Linked DNA regions of Lonchura striata. The main gene of each other region encodes a partner of the protein of the gene in region 2 in a complex. Links are inferred from orthologs where the notes say so. Each region holds a gene or a part of one and is shown on either strand. Other genes may lie near its edges. The genes, in order: contactin-4, PTPRG and CNTN6.

Region 1 (7,287 bases), about 5.5 Mb from region 2:
AGGACCCCTGGGGGAGGATGGCTGAGGTCTCAGGGAACCACCCCAGGGGCAGACGTGTCCTTGTGGCCCAGGGCAGAGGACACTCACCCCTCCCAGGCACGCCTGCCCTCCTCAGCATCCCGGGTGAGCTCAGGCATCCCTGTTAACCCATGGAGAGCCAGGCTTTGGAGGCTGCAGCGTCTCAGCCCGTTTTCCAGGAGGCTGCCTGCACAGGTGAGCTGCTCCTCTGCTGTCATTCACATTCCCTACACACGTTTTGTCATTGTGCAGAGCAGAACGAGCTTAAAATTCTGGGAGCGCCAGACGGGCTGGGAGAGAGCTCAGCTCCACTGCAAAAGGATGGGAAAATCCTTCCAGTTCCAGAGGTTTGCCAGGATCATTCAACTCCAACTACCTGCAGGCACACCCCGCTCCACTCCCACCACCCAGCACTGTGGGGTTTTGAGGCAGGAGACCCTCAGAGCCTCTAAACACCTCAGTGGTGTTGAGAAACACACCCAGAGTTTGGGGTGGCTTCCCGCGAAGGGAGGCTTCCTAAAATCCCCTAAATTCTTGTCAGAGGGGTTCAGCTGTGCCCAGAGTTCAGCACGGGAGGGAGAGGTTGCTGCTCGCCAGTGGAAGCCATTGTCTCCAGCAGGCTGCCAAGGGGAAATTAGCAGTGTGCACACCTCTAAATGAGGCTGTACAGCAAGGAAAGAGGGATTAGCCCTGTAAACGAAGTCCTTTTGGTATTAGATTAAAGAGGGGAGGTGACTTTGAAGGATTATTCAAGAGCCATTTAAGCAGTTTTCAGGGACTTACAAACGCAGGGTAAAAACGCAGCTCCCTCAGGTCCAGAAAAGAAGCAAAATTCAGTTTCCCAGCCAGAAAAAGCTTCTAGGGGACCCCGTTAAGTGCAGCCCCCCACCATCATCCTGCTCCCCACGCTCGGTGCTGGCTGTGGAGCCCGGCTGCAGCATGACCTGCACACCTGGGCTGGAGCTGCTGCGGGAGCCACAGGGACAGGGAAGGGGCTCCGACAGCCACGGGGATGGGTCACGGCACCCCTGGGCACGCTGCCAGCACGGGGGCACAGCCAGCCACCCACCCACTGCGGGGCAGGGGGTGCTGGATGTCGGAAAGGAGCTCCGGAGCATCGCGACCATCGCAAGAGGAGCTGCCACCAGTCCCCGCTCCCACCTCGGTGGTTTGACCGCTGGGATGCAGGTCCCGAACCGAGCCATGGAAACCGGAGGATGGACGAACACAGCCACAAAAACTGACTTCTGCCTCCAGCCAAACGCCCCCTTCTTCCCCGCACCCCAGGGTGCCTCATCAGCGTGCTGGCTCTTAATCCTCTGCCCACATTATTCATCCAGCCAGGGGAGAGGAATACGTGGCTCCACGACACCAGGCTGCTCTATCGAACGAGCCCTCCTCGGGGAAAAAACCCTTCTTTGGCTTAGCCTAAATTAAGGTGACGGGTAATTAGTATGTAAGATACAAACTATTGCCACTTGTTATGCAAGCAGCATCCTTTAATTTGTAGTTTCGAGCGCAAGCCGTTCCTGTCTGGGATAAATAAAACAACACGCTGCGGTATGTTGCTCACGACACGGGAGCAGCAGCAGCCTGGGGAAAGCAAAAGGAGCTTCAACTCCAGCCGGGAACGCGGCTGGAGCCGGCAAAAAGTTCTGCGAGCGCCTGGAGCAGCCTAGAGGGAGCATCCCTGCGTCCGCGTTCCGGGATGCGCCCGCTCTCACTCGGGGATGCTCCGGGTTCCACTCAGGGATGCTCCGGCTCCCACTCGGGGATGCTCCGGCTCCCACTCAGGGATGCTCCGGCTGAGGGATGCTCCGGCTCCCACTCAGGGATGCTCCGGCTCTCACCCAGGGATGCTCCGGCTCCCACTCAGGGATGCCCCGGCTCCCACTCGGGGATGCTCCGGCTCCCACTCGGGGATGCTCCGGCTCCCACTCAGGGATGCTCCGGCTGAGGGATGCTCCGGCTCCCACTCAGGGATGCTCCGGCTCCCACCCAGGGATGCTCCGGCTGAGGGATGCTCCGGCTCCCACTCGGGGATGCTCGGGCTCCCACTCGGGGATGCTCGGGCTGAGGGATGCTCCGGCTCCCACTCAGGGATGCTCCGGCTCCCACTCAGGGATGCGCCCGCTCTGGGTCCGGTGCTCCGCGGCCACCCCACCCGGGGGGCTCTGCGCGACCCCGCGCACCGCTCCGCGCCCCGCGGCAGCTCCGCGCTCCGAGGGCACCGGGGGGACCCCGGCGGGCACCGCGCTCCCTTCTGCCGGCTCCGCATCCCGCCCGCGCTCTCCTTCCCCCGCGCCGCAGCCTTGCTTAAAAATCCCTTATTTACTCCCCATTTCTCTTTTTTTTTTTTTTTTATTTTTCTTTTTTCCCCCCCGTTTTAAACCTGCCTCCCTCCTCTCCGTGCCGTGCCGAGCCGCGCTTACCTGGGCGGGGAGGGGGGGACATGCCCGGCCCGGCGCGGCTCCGCGGGTGCGGGCGCAGCCCCGAGCGCGGCTCCGCAGCCCCGCGGCCGCAGCATTGAGCGGCAGCGGCGGGAGCCGGGCGGGCTCCGCGCAGACCCCACCCCCGGCCCCGCCGTGCGCGGGGGGCGGGCGGCGGAGCGGCGGCGGCCGCTTTAACCCTTCCTGCCCCGCCGGTGGCCGCCCGGTGCGCCTGGAGCAGCCTGGGGGGAGCATCCCCGCATCCGCCTGCCGGGATGCTCCGGCTCCTACTCGGGGATGCTCCGGATCTCACTCAGGGATGCGCCCGCACTTACTCAGGGATGCTCCTGCTCTCATTCAGGGATGTGCCTGCACTTACTCAGGGATGCTCCTGCTCTCATTCAGGGATGTGCCTGCACTTACTCAGGGATGCTCCGGCTCCCACTCAGGAATGTGCCCGCACTTACTCAGGGATGCTCCGGCTCCCACTCAGGGATGTGCCCGCACTTACTCAGGGATGCTCCGGCTCCCACTCAGGGATGTGCCCGCACTCACTCGGGGATGCGCCCGCTCTGACTCAGGGATGTGGCCGCTCTCATTCAGGGATGCTCCGGCTCCCACTCAGGGATGTGCCCACACTTACTCAGGGATGCTCCTGCTCCCACTCAGGGATGTGCCCGCACTCACTCAGGGATGTGCCCGCACTCACTCAGGGATGTGCCCGCTCTGACACAGGGATGCTCCGGCTCCCACTCAGGGATGTGCCCGCACTCACTCAGGGATGTGTCCGCTCTGACTCAGGGATGCTCCTGCTCTCATTCAGGGATGTGCCCGCACTCACTCAGGGATGTGCCCGCACTCACTCAGGGATGTGTCCGCTCTGACCCAGGGATGCTCCGGCTCCCACTCAGGGATGTGCCCGCACTCACTCAGGGATGTGCCCGCTCTGACCCAGGGATGCTCCGGCTCCCACTCAGGGATGCGGCAGCGCTCGGTGCTCAGCCCCATCCCCTGCCCTGCCCCCGGCTCGCTTTGCTGCAGCCCAGGTGCGGCTCCACCCGCACCCCGGGCAGCTCCGAGCCCGTTCCAGTCGCGCTCGCCGCTTTTCCCCATCCCCGACCAGCCCTGGTCCCCCTAAAGGAGACCACAGAAGTCCAAATTTCCGCTCGCGGCTTTTGTTTATTTATTTACTTCCCCCTAGGCGCGTTACCCTCCGGCTTTAATCCCAGATTTGCCGTAATTATTTCGCTCTTTACAGGGAGCCTCTCCTCACCCGCCTGCTCTGCCAGCCTCTCGCTCAGCCCTCACCGTCTCCTTCCATCCCCTTCCCGCTCCTCCTCGTCCAAGAAATGCGTGTGCAGTGCAGGGAGATGAGGAGCACAGCACACCTGGGTACCAGCCCGGCTGCTCCCAAGCTCTGCTGACCTCCCTGTGCCCAGGGATGCTCCCACACCTTCCTCAGGATCCCTCATCGGGGTCTCTGCTTGCTGCTGCAGTGCAAACGATGAGCCACAAACTGCTTTGAAAGTCATGAGTTCAGGCTTAATAAGCAGCATAATGTGAAGGCGCACAGAAAGGGGGGAAAAAAAATATTCAGAAGTGAATGTGGGACCTACCTTTCCCCCGTCCCAAAATCCTGTCCTGGGAAGCACTCTTAAATGCCTGTGCAAAAAAAAGCCTCGCAGTGCAAAGAGCGTATTCAGTCTTAACTGTGCCTCCCCTGGGTTTTGAGGGATTAAGTGAAACCCTTATTATGTTTAATTATCTCTGGAGTTGCTCTCTGTGCTTGCTGCCTTGCTTTATGGTTTAATAAACTGCATGTCGATAGAAACGGAATGACAATTAACGTTAGTGCAGTTGGGTTGGGGTTTGCTGCTGCTCACAGGTTCCTCCTTGACGTGCCTGCACTCGGGTGATTCCTCACCACCTATCAGAGCCTCTTTGGGCAGCTCAGGAGTGAGGCTGAACCTCACACAAGGGTCAGCTCTGCAGGTCCAAGGGGCTGTGAGCCCTTCGTGGAGCTGTGAGAGCACCTGGAGCACCTCCAGGCTGATGGACCAGCTGTGGCTGGCACAATCCTGAGCAGTCCTTGGGTACCTCTGTTGTCCTGGGAATGCTCAGCTCCTTTGTCATGGAATCATGGTTAGGATGGACCTCCAAGATCATCCAACCTTGGTGATGGAGGATGGCCCTCCACACAGCTCAGTGCTCCTGGAGAGAGCAGGAGGGGCTGGTGCTGCCTTTGCTGGGTCCTACTGAGAGTTTCAGGCTGGGCCCAAGAGCGAATCGAAGTCTAGAGGAGGCAGGAGTGCTGCACTTGAGCCACGCATGGAGGAATCCCCTGGTGGTTTGAAATGCTATATAAATGTTGTGTATTATTTGTGTAATCTCCTCCTGATTTATACAGGAGGGGAGCCTGCTCAGCAATCCAAAATAAAGTTGAGCGCCAAGTGTTTTCAATTTGGGAGCGCCTGTGTCTCCAAGGTCACCTCATCAATCCCGGCGCCGTGGCACGGCGCTGCCAATCTGCGTGGGGTGTAATGGCTCTGGAGGGAAATCAGGCTGGAAACGCTGCCGAATTTGTCAAAGGGAGCATGCATTGAATGCATCACCATCATCATCACAACCCAGCTGAGCGTGCAACGTCCTCGCAGGCAGCGGGGAGAAACATCTCCCACCCTCGGCTGGGTGGCAAGCCAGCAAATGAGAGCTGAAAGGTGAAGGCAGGGCGGCGGTGGGAGCAGACAGATGGCTTCCCTGGAAAGCCTTTTGCTTGTGCCACCTTCCCTGCACACCTTTAACTCACCCTTGAGTGAACAAGCAAACCAGGTCACCGGCTTTTTGATTTTTTTTATCCCCAACAAATCTGCAAATAAGGCCAAAGGTATAAGAGTCAGCAATCAACGCCTCCCGTTGAAAATTCAGACATATTCTCTTGAACAAATAATCTCAAATACTTCATATATCTGGCAAGGAAAAGTGCCTGGCGGGTTTTTAAGCTGGGTTGGAGCAGCAGAGCTGACACTTTGAATCAAGCCTTACAGAGCGACCTTCAGAAACTCTTGCCCCGACGTGACTGACAGCAGGAGCATCACCGGGACATTTAGCACGCCCGTGTTAATTAGGCACAAACAAACCACTCTGAATTGCCGTGGAGGCTGCCACGTGTGTGTTTGGTGTGTGTGTGTGTGCACAGAGCCACGCAGGAGGCAGAGCTGGCCCCAAGTCCTGCCCTGGGACACCATCACGGAGAGTCCCCATGGTGCCTTAAAATTTCAGCTTTTCTATTTTCCATCTATTTGTCACCCTGCGGTTCTTCAGGGTGTAACTCCAAACTCCACACTCAGTGTGAGCTGCTGCTTCCCCATTTGGGGCAGACACAACAATTCCTCTCCAGGCCTGGCAGTCAAGGACCCCTCACTGCCTCAGGCCAGAGAGATGGGAACAAAAGTGAGTTGGGGGAGCAAACCTGGGGTCAGTGACTTCATTACCTGCAGCTGGAATTGGCAGATTCACCCCCAATATCCAAATGGACCAAATTTATAAAAGTGTGAAAACCCTGGGTGTAGCCCCTGGGGCTATCCTAAATGTACCTGAAACCCTTCAATAAATAGAACAACTTTTTATTCCCTTAATTTTGTCTGGCCTCTGTTTTTAGGCAATCCCAAATAGGCTTCCCCCAGGCTGAACCCCATGTGTGCCTGCACAGAGGAGTAAACACAGCCCTGCACAGCCCTGCAGCGCTGCTACAACCAGGAGTAGAGGTGGAGCAGGCACAGGCTGTGATTTATGGCTGCTGAACTCGCAGCCTGAACTTGGCAGAGGCTCCTGTGTTTAGGCTGCAGTTTGTGTAAATCTTAGGAAAGGTTTGGGCACGGTGTTACTGATACAGTAAGAGTTTGGTAAGCAATTCTGCTTTAAATGACTGCTGCAAAACATCCCCAAGGCTTGCACTGGGGTTTTGTCTGACCTTTAATTAAAATACCAAGGCTCTTTTCACTTGGTGATGGCTATTTGTAAAGTCCTCTGAGGTTTTGTCGAAGTCCTGCTTGTATCTCGGTGATATCTCAGGGAGCAATGCAGCTCACAAGGAATTTTGGAGAAATCTGCCCTTTTTTTATCATCACCAGCTTTGCATTGTATGAGTTTCATTTTAGGACAATGCATCAAATTGGTAATTTTGTATGTGATGCAGTAAGAAAAGTGTCATCAGCAAACGGTTGAGAATTATTTGTGGGTGGGATCTGTAAATAATCTTGAGTCCACAGCTTTGTGACACCACAGGTGGGGATTTGTAGGGAAATAAATCCTTTCCACAAGGTTGAAGTGGAAAAGTGGTGCATAAATGGCCCTGAAGGCTGATGTCCTGCTTGGGAGCAGAGAAAAAACTGAAGCAAACCCTTGGTGTTGTGCCAGCATAAATCAGTGACTGTTTCAGAGCTCCACATTCCGTATTTGCTCCTCCCTTTTTGGCCAAATATTCCAGCTAGTGCTAATTTCAACAGGATATTTTGAAAATATGGATATTTAGCACTGACAAATAATTGAGAAGCAAAGATCTAAACTCACAAACTTCACCGTCCAAGCACAAAAAACAGCTTTTAAGGCACAGATTCCTAAAGGTATCTTAATTTCTTTAGTTTAATTCCAAATTCTTCTGGTCTATAAAGTCTCTGGATGACAACAGCAGTTCTGTCTGAATCAAGGAGCGCAGCAAAGGACCTAAACATCATAGCTGGGAAAGTCTTTCATAGTTTAAAAAACTCAGTTTAAGTAGAGACTGAGTCCAGAATCTTTCCATGTTTTTCCTTGGACTTTCTGTACCCAAACTCTTTCTGAA
Region 2 (7,084 bases):
AGACAACAGGAATGTCAAAGAAGAGCTAAAAACTGCACAAATGTGTACTTCTGCCTTTACAAAAAAATACTTACTCTCTCTTGGCAAAGCACCAAGAAATCAGATAGTAAGGATATCACCTTAATGCTACTATTTATGTCTTACTGATTTTTGGTACTGTGAATTTAGATTAATGAGCAAACAGATCCCATGGAAACAACCCCTTACCTTGTCTTGGTTTGATTTATTAACCAATGCAATTACCAGTGACAAGCCCACAGAGAAATGCACTAAACTGTTCAGAAAGAGGAAACCCTTACCCACATATTTTTCTGCCAGACTGACTCCTTTCTCTTACTGCAACCAAAGGAACAGCAACAAAAATACCTACTTAAACAGTGAAGCCCTACTACAACACTAGTAACAAAGAAATACTGCAAAGACTTATTTTCTACATGGTTCATTTATTGTTACTGAACAAAGAAAAGAATAGCCTTTATGTTTTCTCACAAAGTAAAGTGATTCGCAGGGGAGAAAACAAGTAGTGACCTCTCTTCCATTTAAAGGGAGCCAGATATGAAACACAGGGAAGAAGGATGCTTACAAATTAAAACCAAGCTGACAAATACCTTACTTCTTTAATCGTCTCTAGAAAACACTGTGAAAAGATACAGCAGCATTTGTGATAGATAGTAAATGGTTAATAACCGGCCGGGATTCCCTGCCAACACAAATTCCGATGATTTGCCATTGGATGTTGTGGGCACCAAAGTCCTGTTAGAGCCCACAGAGATCCTCGCTGCAGCTCTCCTGCCTCGGGCATCGCTGAGGTGCGGGACCAGAGCGGGACCAGAGCGGGACCAGCGCGGGAGGCGTCCCCGTTTCTCAGGATGTTTCCCTCGCACCCCTCGGCTGCACGCACACCAGGTACTGCTGCTCTTCAGAGGAAAGCTCATGGTAGCTCTGTACAAAAACTAAAGGCATAAAAGCCTTTCTGGAAAATAGTTTGCTTTCCAGGCAAACCTTTAGCAACAAACGGCCCCGAAACATTCCCGAGTATTACACAGCTGTTTTATGGCTTCTGGCATTAAAGAGTTTACCAACACTCTGCAAGCGTCCTACTACCCTCTGCTTGCATCCATCTTCATATTCGAACCATAATGCAAATATTATCTGGTTCAAACATCGCTGATCTAAATCAGCAAGTCATACAATACTGTCATATTAAACCAACATCGGGTTGTTTTCCTGCAGCATTCCTGAAGCCTGCCTTCTAGATGTAATTACTATACAATACATATCAGAACCAGAGAGAAAGGCATCACTCCAAGGGCTGAAATTGAGAAGAAATCAATACAAGGAAGATAAATGTTTCGTCAAAAGCTGCAGAGGTATTAACCCTCTCCCCAACTTAGTTTCTTTTTGCTTCGAATCATTTTGCCATGTGAGAAGCTGCTGGAAGGAATGGGATGCGTCTAGCTGCTTAGCTCTGCATTTGGTGTTAGGAAAAAAAAGGGTATTCCAGAAAGAGGAAAAAAAAAGGACACATAAGTGAAAGTTCCTATAGAACCTCCAGAATTTAATTATTTCATTGGACTCTCGCACAAGAGCCAGGGCAGCCTCGGGAGCTCACGGCAAGGACGGGAGGAGCCGCGGCGGCGGGGGCAGAGGGGCTCGCGCTGCCCCCGGGGCCCCTCGCCGCGCACCCCCCGCCCCATCCCCGCCGGGAGGGCGGCAGCTCCGGGCAAAGCAACCCCCGGGACCGCCCGAGACCCCCGGGACCGCCCGAGACCCCCGGCCCCTCCCGGGACCCGGCCGTGCCCGGGGCGGCCGCGGGAGCGCGCCGGGCGGGGCCCGCGCTGCGCGCCGCCGGAGGGGCGCGCGCCCCGCGGGGGCGCCGGCGGCGCCACAGCGCCCCTGGCGGGCGGCCCGGGCGCTGCGGCGGGAGGCGGCGCAGCCCGAGCCCCGCGAGTTCCCCCGGGCCGGGGCCGCGGCGGGGCCGCGCGTCCCGCGGCGGGGAGCGCCCACCCGGCCCCGTCACACGCCAGCCCCGCGGGTCGAGCCGGGGCGAGAAGCGATACGCAGGCACCGGCCGTGGGGTTCAAAGCGGGGGGAGAACTGTATGGTGGTCGCCGAGTGCCCCCCGCCCGCGGAAGCGCTCTCCCGCGGGTGCGCGGCGGTGGCCGCGCAGCTCTAGCCCCGGTGCGGTGCGGAGGCGCAGCCTCCCGGGACTCCCCCCCGCCCTGCCAAGGTCAGCACGCGGCACGGCGAGACCCCCACCGCGGACACGAGTGGGGTGGGGAGGGCACAGACCCGCGCACCGCGAAGTTTCTGGCGGGGGAACCGGGGGGCTGCGACGCGGAGTCGGAGCGCGGAGTCACGCTGCCTTTCGGGGCGGCGAGCGGCGGTCCCGCAGCACAAAGGGAGCTCCAGGCAGCCCCACGGAAGAACAGCAGCGCGCAAGGACCCCCCCACACACGCGCCCGCCCCACGCCGCCGGGCGCTGCAATGCACCGGAGACCGGGGACAGCGCGCCGGGAGCGCGGAACCGAGCCCGTGCTCCACGCACGGCCCCACTCGCGGGCAGCGCAGCCCGCAGCCGGGAGAGTGCTGTGGAGCGGGAGGACACCCAACGCTGGGGCCGCCCCGGCAAACGGGCCCCCGCGGTCCCTGGCGCATCCTCCGCGCCCGCGGGATGCCCCGCCGGCTCCCTGCGGGGGTCGCGGGCACGTGTGGACGAGGCACCGGGAGCCCCCCTAGCCGCCGCTCTCACTCACCGGGGAAGCACACCACATCATGGAGCACGGAGCTGGTGATTTTCAAGAAAAAGATCCACCAACACGGTTGCAGTAGCCTCCGCATGTCCAAAGCCGCACATCGAAAGGGGAATGGGGCTAAAATAATTAACACACAGGGGGAGGAAAAAAAAAAGGGGGGGGGAGGGAGGGGGCAAAAAAAATAAAAAAAACTTGTTGAAAATAAGTTTCTCCCCGCACCCCTGTTCCTGCGGGAGAAAGCGGGGGGCTCCTGCTCGCCTTCTCTACGAGGAAAAAAAAAAAAAAAATCCCCCAAGCGCGGGGCAGGGGGAGGACAGCGAGGAGCGCCGGCGGGGCGCGGGGACCCCCCCGCGCGGCTCGGCGGGCGCGGGGCGGCGCGGCTCAGGCGGGCAGCAGCGGCGGGGCGCGCATGCCGCGGACGGGGCGCTCACAGCCGCCTCCGCGCACGGGCGGGCGGGCGGCGGTCAGCCGGGGCCCCGGCGCGCTCCATCCTGCCGTACAGGAAGTGGCGGGCGAGCCCGGATCCTGGCGGAGACTTTAAAGCGGGGCGAGGGAGAGAGAGGGAGAGAGAGCGCGGCGCGGCGGCGAGGCGAGGCGAGGAGAGGCGGCGGCGCGCCGGGCGCCCCGGCGGCGCGCCCCCGCCGCCCTTAAAGCGGCCGCGGCGGCGGGGCGGGGGCGCGCTCGGGGACGCGCTCCCGTGCGCGCTCCCGCTCCCGCCCCGCCGGCTGTGTGCGTGTAGTCGCGGAGGACGGCGTGCCGCCGAGCCGCGGAAATTCGCCGCTTGCAATTTCGGGTTCCGCGCTTTCGCCCCGGCGCTGTCTGCTGGAAGTTTCTCGTCTCGCTGTGCCGCCCGCCGGTGCGTGCTGAGAGGGGGCCCTGTCCTTCGTGGTGCCCCCCCGGCTTGTGTGCATCACTCCGGGTGCTGCCAGAGGGGTCCGACCGCCCCTCCCCGCCCCAAAACCACGCAGTTTCCCATCCCCTTCGAATCTCACAGCTCAGGGCTGTGCCGGGTATTTCCAGAAATCCTCATGGAAATCATACAGATTTTGTTCTCCAGTGATATGTATCTTTTTGGGTACTGCAAGCGACACCTCCACCCCCACTACCCCCAGAATCACGTAGATTTTTCCTCCCCCAGTAATACTCATCATTCTGGGTGTCGCTGGAAGCATCCCACAAAATTGCTAATTTTTTTCCCCAATATTGTGCATTATACTACGTATTTCCAGAGAGCTACCTCAAAATGAGAGAATTATTTGATGTTTCTGTAAAGTCAGATGAAGGCTATCCCAAGCCACTCTGCATCTACAACCGCTCCATGCCTCGTCGGCAGTTTCTGAATGGGTGATAATTGTGCACAGGAAACAGAAGCAGAAAATGGTGTGAGTCCAGGATGAAGGGATGGTTGTTTGTACTTGGTATTTCCTGGCTCTGCTGTGGTCTGCTGATGCTTAAATTTCTGGCTCTGTCATTTGCTGTGCTCCTCTTCACTTACCTGCAAACCTTCCACATTTCTGGTGTTTCCAGAGGAGAGGAGATGGTCGGCAGGAGGAGGAACAGAGTAGGAAAATACAGAAGTCATTTGTGGAATGGCAGTGATTTTCTCTCCCTCTTCCTCAGCTTAGGGGTCACTAAAGCAGCGCCATCAGGTAATTAGCACTGTCTGCAAGGGGTTTTGTGTCCATCCAGGTTTACCCCACTCAGCACAAGATGCCAAGGCAGTGGATTATGCTGCATCCAAAGGGCCCCTCATCAGGAGACATTTGGAGCCTTTCCTTTGACTTTCTCCCACATACCAGGTCGTGGCTGCCAAAAATCACATTTGAAGTTAAAGGTGCTGTCCTTATTGGCCAAAACTGCTCGTCCCAGTAGGGATTTTTCAAGTGTAAGGATTTTAGGACCTGATTAGATATTCTCTGCCCTTGAGGACACTACCCATTGGGGTGTGCAAAAATTAGAGAAGGTACTTGTGTATAGATTTGTCTAAAGCAGAACAAAAATTTATAGGCCTTGGAGAAAGGACTCATCCAGCTTGTCCATTAAATCATTTCCCAGAACATGGTTTCAACTCTTATAAAAACAAAGATGCAATTTTAAGAGCTAAATTTTCCTGATGTTTCTTTTTCTATGAAAATCAAAATCAAATCCCTTCCTGCCTTGACCTTTTGGATTCTGCCGTGACATCTGGGCTCGGTTACTTACTGGGCTGTTCAGAAAAAACCTGCAAAATATTCCCCTTTCAGCAACTGATTGCAATTTTGCTGTTCTATTTCAGCAGATAGAGAGGCAGGTTCTACACCAATACTGAGACCTGCCTCTTCAAATGATGTCTCCCTGGCATCATAAGAGGCAATCTTAAGGTGTTTCAATCTAAAAGTGGGCTTCAACAGGTCTCATTACATGAGAAAAGTTATCACACACTATTGCAATATCACAAAAGAAGAGTAAAAGCAGTGGATTTCTTTTCAAAGAGCAGTTTGAATTAGTATTTTTCTAACTAATTCAAAATCCTCTGGAAAAGCTGTTAATTGCACCATTTTATATTTAAACATATTTTTAAATTCGTTTAGGGTTTTCTCTCTTGGACTATGACAAACCTGAAACTGGACCCATATCTTGGAATTGGAGGAATTTTGCATTTTCCATTCTTGGTGCAAACATGAAAGTAAGATATAAAATGCATAATCAGAGTAGTGTCTCCTGAGGAGCACAGATGACTTCAGATCTCTCTAAGCTGCTAAGGAAGATTTTAGAATGGCAGAGCTCCCATCAAAAACCAAAGGTGTTCAGGCTGGATATTCACAGTAGTCGCCTCAGGTCTGAACTTCTTAAAACAAATCTGTAAAAGCCCAATGTCAGCAGGACCAGCTTGGTTCAGCCTGCTGTGGTACAACATGTACAATGACCCACTTTTCCTGGAGTGGGAAATCAATCATTGCATCGTCACACATCACTTTAGGAGCTGTGGTGGCAGAAGTAGCTTTGTTTCGCATTAGCAATTTGGGTGGGCAGAGAAATGGAAAGATGGATGATGGAGATGCAGAGAACAAAATTAAACACGGTTAAATGAGAATCCATTTCCTGCATGCAGTATCTCTGTGCCCGAGGCACGCTGTCTATCAACAATACACAGGTACAAATTGGCCTGCAGACGGATCTTTAACTACCCAAACACAGCAAACTGCATTAGCAGGATGCTGCTCTGCTGGGCTGGGCCGCCTGGCTTCGGAGCAGCCACACCAGAATATAAAAATCTATCACCAGATAGCACAGCTGATTCTTCCCAGTGACTGAAGTACTGTGGCTGGCGTGATTCAAATAGCTGCTACTGTATTGAAGGGATTGAAAGGGGACACATACCCCAGTGCAGCAAAACCAGGCCAGTGGGTGCTCTGCAAATCTTGCAATACTTATGGTTAGCGAAGCAGGTGATGTCAAGGTGAGAGGAATGGGACAAGCAGCCCTGGTTTGCTTGGAACAGTGAATAAAAGATAACTTTTATCCTTCTTTCCCCCTCCTGTTTGAACAAGTAATATTTTTATGCTACCTTCATCAACATACAGGCATGACTCCTGGGAAAGAAATGAAAGTCTGTTAATTTATTTGATCAGACATGAGAAATAATAGAAAACTGAAACAAAGTGTTGTATTTGTCATATGTTTGAATTAGTGAAAAGCTGAAGAAAGCAGAAAAATATTGCAAGGAGTTCAAAGATGAGAGGTTTTATTGAATTAGAAAATTATTAATAGCATTAATCATTTCCAAAACAGGCTTCTTAACATCTATAATGACTATGTAAAGGATTGGAGAAATAAAAATCAAAGAAAAAATTCAGGTAGACAAAGTTACACTTCTTTTTGTGACTAGAAAGAAAAGGATGAATTTTCCTTGATTTACAGCCAGCCTCACTGGAATGGTTAATCTGTGGGGAAAAGACCAGGTGAGGATCTAGCCCTGAAAGGATAATTCAACATGAAGTATGAAGAAGCAGCTACAGTTCAGATTATAAGTAATGTGATGTATAAACTTTCAGATTAATTCAGCAGCCCTAGTTCCTGTTCAGCTTTGCATGGAAAGGAAAAGAAGGATGCTGAGTTTCATAAATTATACTATTGCAGAATTAGTTTCTCATAGCCTCAGGACAGATGCATTCTTCTCAGAGTATGCTGTGAGGCTTTGAAGGTCTTAACAAGGCATCTGAGAACCTGCTGAGAGCCAGAGGTGGAGGGCAAGCAAAGTGCTGTGATAAAAGAGAGGGCTTTACTTCAATATAATCATAGCAATGAGCTGTGCTGTTTGATTGATGAAGATATAAAAATAAATGAAC
Region 3 (7,425 bases), about 5.1 Mb from region 2:
ACGAGCCTTTGGAGGAGAGGAGACAGAGCTGAGGGCAGCAAGGTATGGAAAAATTCCAGCTTTTCCTCACTGCTTCTCCTCCAGCCTCTGAAACTGAGGAGTTTAAGCCCCCATGAGGGATTTTTGTGCAGAAATGTCTTGCTGGCTCTCTGCTCTGTGCTGACCTGGTGTGTTTAGCACTTTCCTAGCTCCAAGTAGGGTTTCCATACCTCTGATTCTCTCTCTCACACCTGTGTGTGGTTTTTTCCCCCAAACATGGGGAATTTTTAAGTACAGTGCCCGGATCTATTTTTATTTGGGTTGTTCTGTTTTACTGTGATTAGGGAACTTGAAGATGCTTTGTTCCCTTTTCAAGTTCTTTATTTTTTCCTTGCATATTCTGCATTTGCTGAAAACCTTTGTGTAAATAAGAGACTTGTGAAGCCTGGTTGTTTTGGATGAAAATAAGGTCACCCAATCACCTAAATTCTGCTGTGTCTGGGGTTCTTTGTGTGTCCCAGGGATGGTTTTTGCCACACAGGGAGTTGTAGCTGTAAAACTGGGCCTGAATTTCTTTGTGTCTCCATTTCTCCTGGAGACAGACGAAGCTTTGAACTTGCCCAAGCACAGAGTTATGGCCAGCTCTGAGTGCAGCCCTTGGGAAGAAGGAATAAATGATTTTTTGGGCCATATTTGCTGGTTTTCCTCCTCTGCAAGGGCCTCCCCTGCTCCAGAGACAGCGTGAGAGGCTGGGGACAAGCAGGACACCATTAAGATGTTTTTTGTGTCCCTGAGGAAGGTGAGCAGAGGCCAATCTGTGGCAATCTTCTGCAATAAACTCAGTTTTTCACAGAAGGAATACTGCAGTAACACGCAGCTAACACAGTTTTGGGGAGGGAAATAAAAATTTGATGCTGTTTCGTAGAGCTGATCTCTTCCCACGTACTCACAAAATATCTTCTAGTGAAAATTCTCAGTTCAAACACAAATAGTGCTTTGAACCACCCAACTTCATGTTTTAAGGCCCCTTGGGCACACTGGTACCTTGTTCTGTGAGGGAAATACTTGCTCCAATGGCAAGAAATTAATTTTAGGGTAGCTTATTATGCACCACAAACCTTTTTAATAGTGGTCATAAAGCTGGAAGCAAAGGAAAGGAGACATGGCTCCTGCTTGATTTAAAGCACTTAGGTGGTTATGGATTATTTATAATTTTATCCTCAGCATGAAAGGTAAAACTTGTAATCCATGGCCAGCAGTACCTCACCAGCATCTGAAAACCACAGCTGCAAACATTGGGGATTTTTTATTTTTCTTTTTTTACACGATAAAATGTGATCTATGGTTGTTGCTAACTTCATAGAGGTACTGATTTGGGACTTTTTAGTGTCATAAAACCTACGAAGCAGAGACTTGTGGAATGTGAAACACTGACACAGTGCCTCTGGAGCACCACAGGCAAAGCTGGCTGATGGAGATGGGTTATTTGTGGGGATGTGGTGCCTGGAATTGCAAACACTGCAGGGTTTAGTGGCACACAGAAAAAATCTCTGAAGTTTCAGGACTTTGTGTGGAAGTCACAAGTCTCCTGTCTTTGGGGGAGAAAAATAACAGGGGAGGTGGAAATGCTACTTCAGAGGAGTAAATATTTGGATTTTGACTCACAATATTTATCTGCAAAGGGTTGCAGTGCTGGTAAAAGGACAAGTAAGTGTTATTTACAGAGTGTTTGCATCTTGCTTGTTCATTCAGCTCCATAAGTGCTGCAGGAAATTGTCAGCTTGGAGCATCCTGCTCCTGCAAAAGCTGCTGGAGGAGCCCATTTCCACATGCAACAACTGTCTGAATCCAAGGATTCACCCCAAAAGCACCATGGGAATATCTGATTTAACAAAAAGCTCTAGTCAGGCACTTGCTTCTGGAAGCAGACTTTCCAAACTTTTGATAAAGTATCACATCCTTTAAAGCTGTGTCATGCAGTGTAAATAAATAACAATATCCAAACTAACACTCCTGCAGGTCTTTGGGTACCAAAGCTGTGAACTTGCTTTATATTTTCCTCTGATGACTCAAACGAGCAACAGGGAAAAACTTTCTTTTTAGGACTTACCTACATTTTCCTGCAAATTTACGTTTATTGCTTTTCCACCTTCAGCTGGCAGAAATGAGGTTAGGCTCTCATTACCCACTTCAGCTTTTGACGTGCTGCAGAAAGTCGTCTGGAAGTGCCAGAATTAGCACTGTCATGCTCCGTGCTGCCCGTTTCACTGCAGCACGGAGCTGTGATCTCCTCGGTGATGCACCTGTGGTGCCCGTGGCCAGCACAGCCTGGGCTCTGCTTGCCTCAACCCTCACACGCATACAAATTCATCCCACACCTCCTTTTCTGCCCAGACCGCACACGTTTGGAGCATCAGCCATTTACAGCCACGCAGGAGAAATAAAGCAGTGAGTTTTCCCCCTTTCTCTCCCCCTTCTGCAAATGAAAACGAGCGAGGAAGGATAAAATCCCAACAAGCCCAGCATCGTCCACACCGCAGCAGCCAGCGCGGTTCTGTACTCACAGCTCCGAGCAGCGAGGGGTCTCAGGATCTCTACAATTTCCTGCAGGACTGTGGGGAGCTCTCAGGCAGGCAGGCTGTTCAGCCAGGCAGAACGGAGCCGTGTGGAAGGTCTGTGCAGCTGGGAGATAATGGAACTGTTTTCCCAGCTGGGACCACGAGCCTTTTATCCGCTGAGCATTGCGTGTGTCTCTTCCCCGGTATTAAGCGTGAAATGCGCTGCCTTCCCCACGCTGCTCCAAGCCAGAACCTGCACAATTGGCGCCTCAATCAGACAAACAGCTCCTACAGCTTGTGCATATCCCTGTCTGGAAATTCGGGATGTGGAAAAATCAGCCCTGCCCGGCTCATCCTTCAAGAAAGCTGAGCGAGCGAAAGCGCAGCTGTCAGAGCGGAGCATGAAAGATTAAATGTGCTCTTGCTGCTCCTCTCGTACAAATATGAGCTCCTGTCAGGTAATCACAAACCTCTCTCCTCAAAAACTGGGTCACTGCATGGGCTTGGGCTTGGAACAGGAGTGGGAATAGTTTTGTTTGGTCCTGGTCCCCACAGCCGTGTCCTGAGCTCTGGAAGGTTCAGCCCGTGGGGTGGGAGCTGTCCCTTCAATCACATCCCAGCCCTGAGTGACCTCTGCACTCAACTGCCCCTTCGTATGTTGCATATTAAACAAATTTAAGTTAAAAAGGGGAGAGGAGACTTGCTTGTCTAAAGTAGCACAGACATCAATTGTGATTGAACTTCAAACCTTCTTGGATTTCCATTTTCTCTCTTGGGATTCCTTCAGCAGAGAAAAGGCAGGGTCAGGCAGGGGAGTCCCCTTCTCTTAGTGAGAAAAGTAACTTGAATTTCTCTCTGAGTTCCCAAATGGTTTGGGTTGGAAGGGCCTTAAAGCTCATCCAGTGAGCATGGGCAAGGACACCTTCCACCATCCCAGGCTGGCCTTGGACACTCCCATGGATCCAGGGGCAGCCACAGCTGCTCTGGGAATTCCATCCCAGTTCTTCTCCACCATCTCAGCCAGGAATTCCATCTCAATCTCCCATCCATCCCTGCCCTCTGGCAGTGGGAACAATTCCTGTGTCCTGTCCCTCCATCCCCTGTCCCCAGTCCCTCTCCAGCCCACCTGGAATCTTCTCTGATGATGCTGGAAGCACCTCAGCTGTCCTGCTCTGCTCTTGGGGTGGGAAATGGGGACAGCAGCACATGGCATTCCCTGGAATGTGCCCACAGGTGCCCAGCAAGCCCTGCCAGCCCCATTCAGAGCTCTCCTCCTGATTAACATAAACAATTTTGCACTTTTCTTCCTGTGAGCTTCTCAAATGAGCTTTACTGACAATTAATTAAGCCTTGCAGCACCTTCTAAAGGAGATAGGCATTATAATTAGCAGCTCCATTTTTAATTAGGGACAAAATTTAAAATGGAATTTTAGGTATTTCCTCATTAAAAATTTTATTCTAAATAATTACAGGGCTTTTTCTAAGTGGTATCAAGAGTAAATAGACTAAAAGTTGCTTGCAACAGTTTAACCCAAGCTTCTTGTAGCCAATTTAAAAAGTTTATTAAAAATTTAGCCTTTTCTATGTCAAAATAAAATAATTTCCTTATGCCTTTCTTGCTGAACAAGACTGGAAACAGAATTTTTCATTGCTGAGGAAATTAATGCTGCTAAAACTTTCCTATTAAAGATTCTGCCTGTATCTTTGAGAAATGACACAGAAAGTGATGATACATTTGAATATTAAACCAGTCTTTTCCTAGAGGTCAGGATAATGCATTTGCATGTTACCAAAATTTGGTGGCTTTGCCCGGTACCCTGTCAAAACAAAAATTCATCGAGATCAACATTTCTTTGCCAAATATTTTGCTTTTAAAGAATTGTGATATTCTACCAGAAAACAAAAAAACAAAAAACAAACAAACAAACAAAAAAAACCAAAAACAAAAACACTTAAAAAAAACACTAAGAAACAAAACCAAAGGAAATATTGATGATCAAAAAAAATAACAAAAACCAAACCAACAAAAGACTGTCGTGTTTCCAGCTGTCAGAAACCCCTTAAACAAAACTTGTGCATCCTTTAAGGAAGGGCTGCCTCTCTTGGGGTTTTGACAGTGTCAGAGCACAGACAGCTCCTGCAAACTGGGGCAACCTCAGCAGCCTGGCCTGGGCCTCCAGTCACCTCAAAACTTGGCTCTGGAGTGACAAAAGTTTCCCTGCCTCAGGATGAAGTGCACGGTGTCCTTGTGTAGCTTTCAGGACGCTGTTGTAGGCTAAAAATACCTGGGAGATAGGATCTGGTCTATAAAGCAGACAGGAGAGCATCAGGAGCACAGGCTGGGAGACAGGAGGGAATCAGAAGTTGAGCCAAGGTGTCTCTTGCACAAACTCGGGCTGGAAGACACTTTCTGCTCTGTTTGCTCGTGGAAATTGGAGATGCCTTGGGGTGATGCACGCGGGGTTTGTCAGTGTGCCTTCAGGAGCTCTCCCGCTGCCTGTGGCTCCTTCAGACACAGGAGACAAAGCCAGGATGTCTTTATCAACTTTTTAACTGAATTACATCAAGGACTAACATCATCTAAACTCTCCACTGTGCACAAGCATCAGCTTGCTCAAGGGCAAATCCCTGCGACCACAAAGGCAAAATTTAAGACCCAAGATGAGTCTTTTCAAACAAAGGAATATGATCCCATCCCGTGAGGTGTTTTACTCAGTCAGAGCCACCTTCTGCTCTGACATTCTTGCATTAACCCACCTGAATTGCTGTTTGGTGTTGACCCCATGCAGAGGGTTGTGGTTACTCTAAAATCCTAAATCACAGAATTTCAGAATGGTTTGGGTTGGAAGGGACCTAAAGGATCATCTCATTCCAACCTCCTGCCGTGGGGCAGGGACACCTCCACCCATCCCAGGTTGCTCCTCTTTATGAATCCAGGACACTGCTCAAGTAAGAGTGAATTAAGTAATTTTACAGTGCTAATCAGTAAACATTTCCCAAATTATTGGCTTTGTCTCCCCTCAGTCCTGTTAGACATGTTCTAAAGTAAGTTTCAACGTAATTTTTCATGAATGCAACTTTGCAATTGTTTTTCAATACAGAGGTGATGTAATTTCAGATTCATGGAGTTACACCACCTTTGTCTTTTGAATATTCCTTCAAGTCTTGTTAGAGACAGATATTGGAAATCTGAGAGCAAAAATCCATCATAATTCACTTGCATTGTAAGAATTAAAATGTACTAGGAATTAAATTGAGCTGCTGGACAGGCTGGGTAGTTGAACAGCACAGGCACTGGGGAATGATCAGCTCTTGCATAAAAGAGGTCTTGAAGTCCCACCAAAATGGATTATTGCACTCTGAATTCCCCAAAAAGTTTGCTGCTGAAGCAGAGAAACCAAGAAAATGCAACTAAACCAAACCAACCTGAATTCTTGATGACTTCTGGGCAAGTGATCACCACGAGGGAGGGAGGCGGCACAACCACCCCAGCAATGAAGCTCCAGAAAAAGGATCTCTCCTTTTGCATCATTTTCCAAAATACAACCTTCCAGAAAAAGGAAAGGGATTTGCTATGGAAGCAATGTTAACAATTTTCACCCTTTTGTGTAAATAATTTTTATTACTATTATTTTTTTAAAATCCTTATTTTGCTCTCCCCCTGCAACTGCAAAGAGCATCAAGTGCCTTCTGCATGTGTTTTAGCACTGTGATATATATTGAAGAACATTCATACAGAAAAAATAATGTAAATTATAGGAAATACACCTTCATATGCAATAGTTGTTTCTTCTGTAGCTTTTGTAGATTTTATTTTACTTGGGGCACACGCATATGATGGAGACATGACACTGAAAAAAGAGATCTGCAGGTTTGACAGATAAATGTTTAAACAGTTTATTTGCCGAGTGCAAAAAGATACAATTCAAAGTATAAAGTGTATTGGTCTTCTTTCCCACACTAGATCCATCAAAGAATCAGAATTAGGCTACTTTATCCCTTGTTTGTATTCCACGAAGCTCTTTCAGGCTTTGTCTCCATGTGGTTTGTTCAGGGCTCCACTTTAGAGTTATGGACAACCCCAATCAGAGGCTCTGCTTTGATAACAAGGGGATTAATTAGTTCCCAACTCTACAAATAAACCAGAAAACAAACCCTCTGAACTGCTGTCTATGTACCCCCAACTCCAAAGATGATTAAAGAGGGAAAGAAGCAGCTCAGGGATGTTGTTAGTCCTGTGCTAAAGTGCCCCATTGATCTCAGTCTCTGGAATAAATGCCAAGGTTTAGTGGGTGTTAATCCTTGCAAAATGTGCAGCTTATTAATGATCCCCCCAGCAAAGGTGACCTCCTGAGCCTGGAGTGAAGATTTGAGAGGAGCCTGAGTAGTTCCTGTGCTCCCAGCTGCTCTGCTGCCACAGAAAAACAGGTTTGTGATCTGTGTCCTGGTTCTTGGGGTGGGAAATGCTCTGATCAATAGCTGGAGGTTTACCTGTGATGGAACTGGAAGCTCTTTAACACCAGGACAGCCCCGATTGGAAATGACTGGACAAGGAAATTTTAAAAGCATAAGCAAGAAGAAGTAGAAAGGTTTTTGGTGGTTATTTTTGTTACTGCTGGTGGTGTTACTGGTTTGTGTTTTGAAGGGCAATCACTGTTGAACAACTTTTGCTCTCCAGACAATCACTGTGACCTTAGTGAGACTTTCTAATGGCTTTGTGGCTAATCCTGCCATGATCTTCTACTCATAAAATGTGGGGAACTTTCTTATCTCTTTTTTTCTTCAGGGTCTTTGTGTGAGATGTGGTTTTTTGCTTTTATTTTTATACCTGTGTTTCTTTTGCTATTTTTTTTAATTTATTTTTTAAAGGAAAAAAAGCCATCTGAGA

Evidence for each region.
Region 1: the proteins of PTPRG (region 2) and contactin-4 are in contact, whole or in part, in a crystal structure (PDB 3KLD), measured with the Mus musculus proteins. The link is inferred for Lonchura striata from reciprocal best matches to the Homo sapiens genes PTPRG and CNTN4. Residues at the interface, in NP_033007.2 of Mus musculus: Lys222, Val225, His226, His227, Lys229, Phe288, Thr290, Gln293, Asp294, His295, Val296, Lys297, Ser298, Val299, Glu300, Tyr301; in NP_001103219.1 of Mus musculus: Thr128, Arg129, Ser130, Val132, Ser133, Arg135, Gln138, Gly139, Met140, Val141, Leu142, Leu143, Cys144, Gly145, Val219, Met220, Gly221, Glu222, Tyr223, Glu224, Pro225, Lys226, Glu228, Leu250, Asn304.
Region 3: the proteins of PTPRG (region 2) and CNTN6 are in contact, whole or in part, in a crystal structure (PDB 5E5U), measured with the Mus musculus proteins. The link is inferred for Lonchura striata from reciprocal best matches to the Homo sapiens genes PTPRG and CNTN6. Residues at the interface, in NP_033007.2 of Mus musculus: Val225, His226, His227, Lys229, Phe288, Thr290, Gln292, Gln293, Asp294, His295, Val296, Lys297, Ser298, Val299, Glu300, Tyr301; in NP_059079.2 of Mus musculus: Arg129, Val132, Arg135, Gln138, Gly139, Val140, Val141, Leu142, Leu143, Cys144, Gly145, Met222, Gly223, Tyr225, Glu226, Pro227, Lys228, Glu230, Leu252, Asn306.

Annotation. Positions count from the first base shown.
Region 1 is NC_134614.1:22,248,583-22,255,869, reverse strand, and holds the start of contactin-4, read right to left. Parts: upstream 3,064-7,287; 5' UTR 2,959-3,063; intron 2,552-2,958; exon of another isoform or gene 2,451-2,551; intron 1-2,450. UniProt on the Homo sapiens protein: Contactins mediate cell surface interactions during nervous system development. Has some neurite outgrowth-promoting activity. May be involved in synaptogenesis.
Region 2 is NC_134614.1:16,766,334-16,773,417, reverse strand, and holds the start of PTPRG (receptor-type tyrosine-protein phosphatase gamma), read right to left. Parts: upstream 3,033-7,084; 5' UTR 2,842-3,032; coding exon 2,757-2,841; intron 1-2,756.
Region 3 is NC_134614.1:21,914,203-21,921,627, reverse strand, and holds the start of CNTN6 (contactin-6), read right to left. Parts: upstream 3,048-7,425; 5' UTR 2,544-3,047; intron 1-2,543. UniProt on the Homo sapiens protein: Contactins mediate cell surface interactions during nervous system development. Participates in oligodendrocytes generation by acting as a ligand of NOTCH1.